Callithrix jacchus: one gene and its partners. The protein of the gene in region 1 purifies or fractionates together with the protein of each later gene. This does not show direct contact. Links are inferred from orthologs where the notes say so. Each region holds a gene or a part of one and is shown on either strand. Other genes may lie near its edges. The genes, in order: NF2, AMOTL2 and AMOTL1.

Evidence for each region.
Region 2: the proteins of NF2 (region 1) and AMOTL2 purify together in Homo sapiens (affinity purification with mass spectrometry; 5 studies listed by BioGRID and IntAct, with this or other methods). This does not show direct contact. The link is inferred for Callithrix jacchus from reciprocal best matches to the Homo sapiens genes NF2 and AMOTL2.
Region 3: the proteins of NF2 (region 1) and AMOTL1 purify together in Homo sapiens (affinity purification with mass spectrometry; 6 studies listed by BioGRID and IntAct, counting the BioPlex papers as one, with this or other methods). This does not show direct contact. The link is inferred for Callithrix jacchus from reciprocal best matches to the Homo sapiens genes NF2 and AMOTL1.

What each region holds. Positions count from the first base shown.
Region 1 is NC_133502.1:200,276,871-200,280,327, forward strand, and holds the end of NF2 (merlin), read left to right. Parts: intron 1-716; coding exon 717-879; intron 880-2,746; coding exon of another isoform or gene 2,747-2,748; coding exon 2,749-2,859; 3' UTR 2,860-2,874; downstream 2,875-3,457. UniProt on the Homo sapiens protein: Probable regulator of the Hippo/SWH (Sav/Wts/Hpo) signaling pathway, a signaling pathway that plays a pivotal role in tumor suppression by restricting proliferation and promoting apoptosis.
Region 2 is NC_133518.1:49,808,664-49,812,781, reverse strand, and holds the start of AMOTL2 (angiomotin-like protein 2), read right to left. Parts: upstream 2,938-4,118; 5' UTR 2,815-2,937; intron 2,556-2,814; exon of another isoform or gene 2,070-2,555; intron 1,756-2,069; exon of another isoform or gene 1,714-1,755; intron 1-1,713. UniProt on the Homo sapiens protein: Regulates the translocation of phosphorylated SRC to peripheral cell-matrix adhesion sites. Required for proper architecture of actin filaments.
Region 3 is NC_133511.1:45,513,786-45,517,432, reverse strand, and holds part of AMOTL1 (angiomotin-like protein 1), read left to right. Parts: intron 1-3,230; coding exon 3,231-3,647. UniProt on the Homo sapiens protein: Inhibits the Wnt/beta-catenin signaling pathway, probably by recruiting CTNNB1 to recycling endosomes and hence preventing its translocation to the nucleus.

The DNA of each region.
Region 1 (3,457 bases):
TGAAGTCTCAGAACATGTGGGAGTATGGATGTGGCCTATCAAAAGAAATCATGTGAGGCTGGGCGCTGTGGCTTATGCCTATAATCCCAGCACTTCCAGGCCAGGAGTTCAAGACCAGCCTTGGCAGCATAGCAAGATCCTATCCAAAAAAAAAAAAAGAGGTTATTGAATTACTGCTCCAAGAAGGGTCAAGACAAGGAGATTGTTCTGGGTTGCCAGGAAGTTTGTTTCATGTTTTCGTTACAGAATGAAAAGCTATCTGTGACAGCTGGTATTTGTAGAGCCCCCTATGAGAATTTACTGAGGGCTTTCCTACTCTTTTTCTTTTCTTTTTTCTCCTCTCTTTTTTCTTTTTCTTTTTTTTCTTTTAATAGACACAGGATCTCATTATGTTTCCCAGGCTGGTCTCCAACTCCTGGACTGAAGCAATCCTCCTGCCTCAGCCACCCAAAGTGCTGGGATTCCAGGGGAGCCACTGTGCCTGGCCTCCTACACTTTTTAAAACTTAATCCTGACCACGGCCCTGTGATCATTATCCCAATTTTAATGATGAGGAAACATTCACAGCAGTGACCACTCCAAGCTCCCACAGCCTGTGAGTGGCCAAGTAGAGATGTGAACCCCAGGCCTCAGACCCTAGGTCCCGTGCCAAGCAGCTTGTGGGCCACAGAGCATCTGAGCCCAAACCCTGATGCACGATACCCTCTTGCTGGCAGAGTGGAATACATGGAAAAGAGCAAGCATCTGCAGGAGCAGCTCAATGAACTCAAGACAGAAATCGAGGCTTTGAAACTGAAAGAGAGGGAGACGTCCCTGGATATTCTGCACAACGAGAACTCCGACAGGGGTGGCAGCAGCAAGCACAATACCATTAAAAAGGTACCCAGGGTCTCTTTCTTGTATTTTGCTGATCAGGACAGTCGTTAATGAAATGTGAGGTTGGCAGCTGGTTTCCTCAGTAGCCAAGTCACTAGACTGTTGGCATCTTTTGTATGTACTTAGTTGAGGAAATTTTTTGACTCATGCCAGAAAGGGAATTTTAATCTGCCAATGACTATGAACCCATTGGCTTGATGGAAGTTGAGCTTGTGTTAAAAGCTCTGATATAATGAACCCCTGTTACAGGGTGGGTTTTGAGCCATTATTTAGCAGTAAAGCATAATGCCCTTTTAAGCCAAGGGGTGTTATGCTCAGGGAGCTGCTTTACTTAATGAGAAAGCAGAATGAAATGGAGGGTATTGAGAATGGACTTTCCCTCTAGACTTGCTGTGTCTTTAAGTGACAAGGACTATAAAACAAAACTGAATTTTTAACTTGTTTTCCTACTTAAAAGGAAGTATGTAGGAGAGGACCTCTTTGTTTTAAAAGAGAAGACTTCATTACGTTGCAAATAGTTTCATATCTTTCTCCATTTGTATTTTGAGCTTTCAGCATTGTTGAGATTCAGAACCTAATTTCCATATTAATTATCAGCCCAAGAGCATACCTCTCTCATTTGGGCTAAGCAGAAGGGTCCTCTCTTGCCAAATAATGCTCTGCTTTTAACTGATAGCCCTGGATCAGGTTAACACCTGTAAAATAGATGTTATTAAGATAAGAGTGGCTCTTTGGGAGGCCGAGGCAGGTGGATCACCTGAGGTCAAGAGTTCGAGACCAGCCTGACCAATATGGTGAAACCCTGTATCTACTAAAATTACAAAAATTAGCTGGGCGTGGTGGTGTGCACCTGTAGTCCCAGCTACTAGGGAGGCTGAGGCAGGAGAATCACTTGAACCCAGGAGGCGGAAATTACAGTGAGCCGAGATCGCACCACTGCACTCCAGCCTAGGCAACAGAGCGAGACTCCATCTCAAAAAAAAAAAAAAAAAAAAAGAGGACTGCCCATTGAGTAGGTAATACTGATATAGTTAATTAATTTTTACTCTTTACCTCAGTCTTTAAAATGGGCTTCCAGTTTTACTAAAGGGCTTCCCTTTAAGTTCCTGGGGTCTTGTCACTGTTGAGAGCTTAGTTTTCTTGCTTGTTTCTGGTAGCTCTCGATAGAAGAAGGTATCCACCTCTTTTCCAAAAGTCTACAAGCCAATCCTGTTTTTGGTTAAGAGACTTTGCCCAGTCAAGCAGTTGTTCTTTGGGAGGCCTCTGTGTTTAGTGGTTAGGCTGTATCTGAAACTCCAGGGAATCAGTTTCTACCTGCCACTGTTGTTGGGGGCAGTAGGGAGCCCTGACTTCTACCTCTTGACTCCAGTCACAACTGGCACCGGGTAGAGGATTCCTTTAAATAGCACAGCCTAGAAGGAAAGGCATGTCCACATTCCACATTGTTCTTTCCTCTGGCTTCTGTAATTTACTGGGCTTTCCTTCCAAAACAAAATTATTAAGCAGTAAAGGGGAGTTCGAGGGAGGCCTCAGCCATTAAGGAAAGAGAAAAACTGATGACTGGGCCAATGAGCCAATCAGCCCTTAAATGAGCTGCCTCAGACACCCCACCTCACCCCTTACCTCCAGCCTTGTCATCTGGGTCCCAGGAGCAGTCTCACCCTTTCCACCGCTGCTGTAATGAGCAGGGGCCTCAGCCACAAAAACCTGCAGTGCTGAAAGCGGAAGAGACCCGTTCCAAGCCACTAAAACGAACAAAATCACTCGTCACGATTTCAGGCCTATCCAAGCATTTTGCAAATGTCACTTGTGGCATTGTTGATATCACAGGGTATGTTTTTGTTTTTCTTATTTTATTTTGCTGGTTTAGCCTCAAGCCCAAGGCAGAAGACCTATCTGCATTTGAGTCCTCAAAGTAGGTTGTTCCCAGGTACTCTCTGTGTGGTGATGGTACTGCCCTCTGTGATACTAACCCGTGCATGAGCTTGCCTGTCTCTGTCCTTGGGCCACACTGAGCCCTCTCGAGGGCAGGTGGTGCCTGGGTACTGGCCGCAGCATGCTTTGAGTCTAAGGCAGGCATCCGCCCTGTGGAGCCAGACCAGCCTCCAGGGACCCAGAAGACTGCCTCGTTCCAAAGAGCATGTCATGGGGCTGTAGGACCAGCCATTCTTTCCATCTCATGTCATTCTTGGGCTGGGGAAGGTTATGGCTTCTTGTCCAGTCAGGTGTGTCTAAAAGTCCTTTGTCTTGGTGGCGTATTCCTTAGATAAATAACCCTAGCATGGAAATGGGGTCAATCTGGGCACTTTTGAGACTGGTATCTTTAACTCGAGATCAAGACCTTTCATGTGGTGACAGCCTCTCAAGACCCATGGTCACACCTGGCAGCTTCTGTTGTCGGGTGAAGGGGTTGCCTGTGCTGGCTCATTTTCCTTTAGAGCTTCCCCTTTCTATACACATCCCTTTTCTTTTCAAATAAAGCAAACCCAGAGCACAGGGTTCTGATGTTTGAGTCCATGGGGAGTGGCCTGTCTGCTCATCTGTGCTCAGCCGCCTCTGCTTCAGCTTCCTCTCCACAGGC
Region 2 (4,118 bases), on another chromosome or scaffold:
ACCCCTGAGCCTCAGTTTCTCCATCAGAAAAATGCAAAGAATTCTGCTTGACTCATGGAGATGAGAATTAAGAGGCCTTTGAGCTCCTGGTACAGTGAAAATCCTGGTAAATGATTACTGTGATAACATTCATAGAGGCTTACTATTCCTGGAGAAAGACATAAGAAAACCAGAAGATAATCCACCAGGAACCACTGCCTCTATAGCCACCTACCCATCAAACAGCCTGATGAGCAATTCCAAGGCAGGCCTAGTTCAGATCTAACCACTTAGCTATTCAGTCTAGGGCTGGGTGGGGACCCAGTTTATTGGCAGGTGATACAGAAGGCATGTAGTCCAGTAGAAGCCCTAGGTGAAAGTCCTCCAGGACCCCCCCCAGAATGAAGCATGCCAGAGCCCAGCCCTGGCACAGTCAACCTACTACCCTCTAGCCCACTGAACCCCTGCCCACTTTTCTCACTCTCCCAGAACCAAAGAGCTCCTGGGGGGTGGGCCTGGGCTCTGCTTCATCAAGGGCTGCTGACAGAATGAATCCAGGACTCCCTGTCATGGGATGACCTTGGCAGTCATTCTGCAAGGTGAACAGGAAGGAGGAGGAATTGCACCTGAATTTCTGAATAAGGGATGAATAAAAAGGCTCGACAATGGTTTTGTGAGATGAGGCAGAAAGTTGCCACCCATTAAGGTCAGTGGGTCAGTCTTAGAGCTGACGGTAACTGCAAGAGAGCTCCAGGAAAAAGAAAGGATGGCACGACGTCTTTTATGATTATCCTCCCCAACACACACACATGCACGCACACACGCTACTTGGAAAAGCCCTCACTGGTCCTCTAAGCAAACAGAGGATGGGCTTTCAGCATCTTTCTTGACATCAGTGTCAAGGAAGATCATCTGGACTTGGGCTTTCTCCAACACAAATCTCCAAACTGGGATCCAGGGAAAACTAAACGGACTCCATACTGCCAAACATCCTGTGTGAACAGGCAGGGGTTGGTGGGGAGTGGGAGGAATGTGGCCCCTCCTCTGCCACAAAACTAGCCCGTGTCCTGCTTCAGTTTGGGTTATGGTATGTTGGCAGAACAGCCATTCCCAATCCTTTCCCTCTCCCCACCCCGGGCTCCAGCTGCCCAGAGCTGGGGACTGGGGTATGAGTCTGGAGGGCACCTCTGTACCAATCCTTCCTGGCACCCATTCATGCGCCCCCACACACAACGAGGGGTAGATATTGCAAGACTCCGGCGCTACCCGAGGCAAAGCAAGCAAACGGGATTTAATTCGCTCTGGAGTTTTATCTCGGGGCATTTCCTTAAGATAATTACTCTCTGGCCGACTCCCACAGAGGCTGCAAGGGAGCGGCCGGAAGGAATGCGGAGCCTTCCCGACAGATTCCGGGCGCTCCACAGTGTGCGGGGACTGGGAGCAAGGAACATCTCCAAGGCCTCGCGAATTTGTCCCGGCCAAGCCCCTCAGATTCACGACCTTTCAAATACCAAACGACCGAGCCTTAACTAAAACCTGCTTCCGCGCCCCCGGCCGCGCCCCTCTGCTGCGCTAGCGCGCTGAGCTCTCTGAAGGCTGCCTGTCTAAGCCAGCGCGCGTCGGCTGCCTTGGCCTGGGCTCCAGCTCGCCTAAGGAACCAAAGTGACAGTCTCCAAGCCGGGAGACTCTCGCACCCCAGCCAGGACTCCAGCTCCACCACGACCCCGGGCGGACCTGGATCGCCGGTGGTCGCGGGTACGCCTGGGGCTAGCCGGTGAGGGTAGCCCGTGGCCCGGAGAAGTCTTTAAGCATCGCGGGTCCGCCTCCCTCCCTCTCGAGCCCTCTTTGTTTTCCAAATACTCCAGCGCTGACGTCACCGGGCTGGACAGCAGGCTGCATTCTTTCTAGGTGAGAGCCAATTCGTGTCTCCAGAGAGGATTTTCCAAGGAAGACAAAGAGGAATTCTTGGACTAGTTGGAGGCAAAGGCACCTGTAACCCCCACCTAACCAAATCAACCCGCGAGACCCTGCAAATTGAACCCCAAGCGGCGCCTCCAGGCCTGTCCCCCGTCACCCCCACCCCGGCCTACCTGCAACCCGAAACACCGTCGCCTCTATAGAGTCTGCCCTCTCCGCTCTCCCCCAGCCCCGGGGGACCGGCGCGCTGCTAGAGCCCCGCAAAGCCAGGGGCGCTGGGCTCCCAGGCGGAGCGGCCCTTGCCTGGCACTGCGGCTGCCTCGAACGGGCGCACTACGCCCGGAGTACGCTCGATCCTCCGGGCTCCGACTCCCGGAAAAGGCCGGGCTGCGCCGAGACTCCGGCTTTGGCCGGGGCACGTCTCTGTGGCCTCGCGCGCTCTCCCCAGCGCCAAGCGGCCTTCCTTACCGCTGCGGCCCGCGGGTGCCCAGCACAGTCAGACACTGCAACCCCCGGCTCGGCCCTGCTCAGCTCGGCGGCGGAGATGTATTCTCGGCAGTGGCGCCGACGCTCTGGCAGTTCGCGCCCCAGCGCGCAGCCCCAGGGTCGGTCCGCGCTGGAGGCGGCTGTTATGCCAGGAATGTGAGAGTTTCAGGTTCCCCCTCGGGATCAAAGCGAACCACAAATAACCTCTCAGCGCGCCGCCCTCCTCCGCCCTCCGCCTCCTCCAGCTCCCTCCTCCCGTCCCCCGCCTTCCTCCCGGGAGGCGGCGCTGCTGGCTGAGCGCCGGGCCGGCCCCTGAGCTCCGTTCCTCCGCACTCAGCGCCCTCCAGGCCGCAGTGTGTCCGCCCCTGCCCCCCGCTTTGCGATCGGAGCTGCTGGAGACAATTTAATACAACTCGGCCCATTATTGCTTACACCCCTAGTCGCCGACCCGCTCTCCACCCTTCATCCCGAAACCCATCGACGGAACGATACAGCAAGGGCTGTGCCACGCTTGTCCCGGGGTTGCTGCGGGAGAGGCTCCGGCTGTGCGTGTGTGTGTAAACCGGGGGAGGGGGTAAGGGAAGAAGGACCGCAAAGACGTCTATATCCTCAGGGCTGGGAGCTTGTCCCGGGAGAAGTGAATACTTCCAGCCTCCGAGCCTCTCTTTCCCCTAACCCCCAGTGCTTTCACCCCCGCGGCAACCTTTGAATTGCACTTTTGTTTACAAACACCTTCACCAGCTCTTTTACGAACCTTCTCCACAGGAAGCGTGAATCTGTGTTGGAAAATCCTGTCAATTTGATCCATCTACCCAACCGAATCTCCCGCCGCCAGGCGCTCTGTCCACCTCTTCCCCAAGATAATAGGCGCCCCTTTACGCAGAGCGCAGGGTGTGCCACCGCCGGCTTTTCTCCCAGTCAAGCGATCCAGCCTTGCCTAGCATCCTCCAACGGAGTTCTGTTATCATCCCTGTGTTATAAATGAGGACACCAGGGCTCAGAGAGCTTAAGCAGGGTGCCCAGAGTCACACAGAAAGAACCAGACAACCAACCAGGGGCTGCTTGGGTTTTCATTCTCAAAACCCCTCCGTTGCCATCAGAATCCGGGCTCCCTAGATGGACTGGGCAGACGCCAGGAACCTTCCTCTTTCCACCTGCCCGCTCCTTGTTTTAGTCTCTTCTTTACCTCCCCCTACACCCCTGCCAGCCAGCGGCCTTCCCTTGTATCCACTTCTGTGGCTCCTGCATGGAATCTTCTTCTCTGCCCCCAGGACACTTCGTCTGCTAGGTGCAAACCCCTTCTTCAGAAAGCCTTCACTGACACACCCTGTCCCAGTTCCCACTACACAGGGCCTCTCTACAAGTCAGTTGGGCTGAAGTGGGGGCAGTCAGGCCCCTGTCCACCCAGAGAGTCAGGGCTGATTTCTTCTTCCCCTGGCTGGGTCCTCCCCTCAGCATGGAGTTTGCAATTCCCAAATTCACCGGAGGGAACCAGGGACAAGGAAACTCTGGAAGCTTAATAGCCAGGGACATTGTTAATTTTTAATAAAACTCCCACAAAAAGTGTGTGTGTGTTTTACTTGGAAGCCAAATACTGTTTCAAATAGTGATTGCATCTGAGATGATTGAGCAAATGGGTCATTTGTGAAGAGGTCTCTGGGTGGCCTTACCTTATGGACAGTGTAATTGGTGGAGGAGGGGAATGGTTGTGGACATGTGTACTCTGGGTTGTAAAA
Region 3 (3,647 bases), on another chromosome or scaffold:
TGGGTTTCTACCTCAGTTACAGTATTGATTCTCTGTAGGTAAGGGATAAGTTTCAGTTTATTTCAAGTATAATCCTATGAGGCAGAAAGTCTCTCCATTTTTCAGAGGTGAGAGGTTCAGAGAAGCCACAAAGGTGAGAGTTTGGAGTTAAGGGTGACAGGGAGAGCCTTATGATCAAAGTTGAACTTCAGGAATCAGTCTGTAAACTCCGTTCGTTTTCTCAATAATCATGTTCCAAATGCCTTCTATGTATCAGAGCAGGGTTCAAGGCACTGGGGAGGCAACATGTGATTATAACAGATAGTGTTCTCTGCTCTATCTGGTAGAGGAAGACAGGTCATAATATAATATGGAGTGAAAGGAGAAGGAGCCAGGGGCAAGAGATATTGAGAAGCCATTCAGGATGTCTAAATGACCGGTAAGGAGAGTTGGAACCTGGAGAGTGGCTGAGAGCACGGAAGAATGGACTGGATAGGGGAGCTTGTTGGTGTAGAAACTAGGGCTTGGTTGTGATTTTTAACTGTCATAAATGTGAAATTTCTTAATGAAAATTAGGGGACCATCACAGAGTTACAGCGTTTTGCTATTGCAAGGACAGTAACAATGTCATCTGTTGTCACCTTTTTTCATATTTAAATACCAAAAAAATAAGAGGGATGTGATCCTTGACAGTTCTTGCCCCAAAAAGGACAGTTTTAAGCCTTCTAATGCATTTATCTATTTACATACACATATAGATGTATTAATAGATGTGTATTTATATATCTTGTATATAAGCATATCATACCACCTTCATTTTTTTTTCTCAATTCATTGTGGACTGAGAAAAACTAACTTGACAGTTGATTAAATGCAGAGAGCAAAGAATAAAAAGGTCAAAAGTGAATATGAAGTTTCTATCTGGATGACTCATATTTGAGAATGTCATTTATAGGAAAAAAACATGAATTTGGGGAAGAAAGACTGTTTTGGGAAAATAATGTTCTGTATGTATATATTAAAACATAGAGCCATCATTACATGCATTTGTAGGAGTGAAGGCTGCCTAGAGATGATCTAGTCCAGCTCTGAGTTTACAAAGGAGGATATTGAGGCTCAGGGAGGGAAAACAATTTGTTTAAGGTCATGCCAGCAGTTAATAGTAGAATTTTTACTTTTATAATGCTATAATAATATTCTTAATGCACTACTAATTTTCCTGTTGTGAAATGGGCTAGATATTATATTTCATGGAGCTCATGTAGGTTTTCTTTTATTGGTTAAATACCTGAGGCCTATTACATCCAGGCATTTGGCTTTGTTCTAGGGAGACCCAGATGAGACAACATAATCTTTGCCTTTAAGGAGTTTAGAGTCTTGTATAAATAAATAATTGCCATCTACTGTGAGAATTGCTGCAATGGAGATATATATAAATGGAGTGGGGACACTGGAGAAAGAGGCTCAAGCCTGCAGGGCTGCAGCAGGAAAGGTTTTACTCAGAAGGTAGCTTTGGAGCTATCACTTGTCTAAGAATTTTCCCGAGAGACATGGTGAGATGCGTCTTTCTAGGCAGAGAGGAAAAGGCAAACAAAGGTCCAGAGGCTGGAAAGAGCTAACATTCCTTAGAAACTATATGTACATGGGTATTTATGGAGCTTAAATTCCAAAGAGTTGCCAATGGGAGGTGGGAGCAGCATGAAATGTTTAGGTAGGTGGTATCTGCTTTACCATGTAATAAAATGCCAGTTTTATCCTGTAATTGATTATCCAGGAATTTTGGTACAGAAGAGTGACATAATTAGATTTACATATTGGAACAATCTTTCAAGTAGTGTGCCAGATAGACTGGGGTCAGAGGGCTGGCTTTGGAAGTGGGAATACGATGAGTGTCAGGGAAATAGATAAGGAGGCTGTTGGAATGACCTGGGCATGTGATGCCAAGGGCTTGTAATGTGGAATGAACACAAACTTGGTGTCATATCCTGGTCTGCCTCTTCCTGCCTGGTTGCCTCGGCAATTTACCTCTGTGAACCTCTCTTCTCATTTGTAAGTTAAGGGAATTAATATCTACCTCTTAGTGTTTTATGTGGAATAAATGAAATAACACATGGAGAGATTTAGTACAATAGCTGGCACATCATATACATGTTTAAAGTAATTCTTGTGGTTATATTAAAGTTATTAATGATGAACTTGGAGATTGGCACAGGAACAGGAAGAGGGTTGGCAGAGATGTTGAAAAGGTTAAATTGACAGGTAGTGGCTGTGTGAGTATTGGGGGTAGTAAGAGAGAGGAAGGAATTTTGGAAAACTTTCAGTTTTCTGGCTTGACAGAAAGTAGATGATGCAGGGAATACAGGGGTTGGGATGGGTGGGTAACCATGCAGGATGAGGAAGACATGTTGAGTTAGAAGTACTCAGGGCCATTGTCTGGCAGTTGTAGATGTATGGGTCATGAGTCAGTAGTTGATGATAAGAGGTAGGTGTGGTGTCACTGGGAGACATGTAAGGGTGGAAGAGCACTCAGGACAGAGCTGTGGGAAACACCAGAATTTAAGGGACAGGTGAAGAGAAGGGAGCCAGAGATAGTGTGTAGAGAGAGGCAGGAGCCAGGACCAAGAGGAGGGATGACCTGGAGTCCGGATTAGGAGAGCATTGCAGGAAGAGGATGACCAACTATGTCAAATGCTTCAGAAAGGTTAGGTGCGTAACAGGATAACTGGAAAATTCTCATTGGATTTGGTTACTGATCAGAGCAGTGGGGAGGATAGTGGATGGAGCATTTGGGAAGTGCAGACAGCAAGTGTAGGGCACTCACTGAACACAACTAGAAGAGAAGGAAAAGAGAGATACAGGGTGGTAGTTAGAGGTATATGAGAGGGCCAAGGAAAGTTTTCTTCTGGTTTGATTTTTTTTTTCTCTTGTATTACTTTTTTAAGATGGGAAAGACTTGGATATGTTTATGTGCTGAAGAGAAAGGGTCAGTGGGAAGATTAGAGAAAAGGGAGGAGTTGAAGGATGGAACAGTGTTTAGGAGAAAGCAAAGGAGAGGGAGTGGGGAATAGTAGACTCACTTTGAATAGGAGAAGAAATTCGATGAGACATTGCCAGGTAAATGGAGGTGATGATGTATTTGAAATATCTTTAAATGTTGCCGTAGTTAGAATGTTAATTATGTACCACATAGTCACAGACATATATCTCCTGTGGAACAGCCTGATATCTTTTTTCCTATGTTTATCTTTTAGTTGAAGATCCTCTTTGTAACTTCCACTCCCCAAATTTCCTGAGGATCTCAGAGGTGGAAATGAGAGGTTCCGAGGATGCGGCAGCTGGAACAGTATTGCAGCGGCTGATCCAGGAACAACTGCGGTATGGCACCCCGACTGAGAACATGAACTTGCTGGCCATTCAGCACCAGGCCACAGGGAGTGCAGGACCAGCCCACCCTACAAACAACTTTTCTTCCACGGAAAACCTCACCCAGGAAGACCCACAAATGGTCTACCAGTCGGCACGCCAAGAACCGCAGGGTCAAGAACACCAGGTGGACAATACGGTGATGGAGAAACAGGTCCGGTCCACGCAGCCTCAGCAGAACAATGAGGAACTGCCCACTTACGAAGAGGCCAAAGCGCAGTCACAATTCTTCAGGGGGCAGCAGC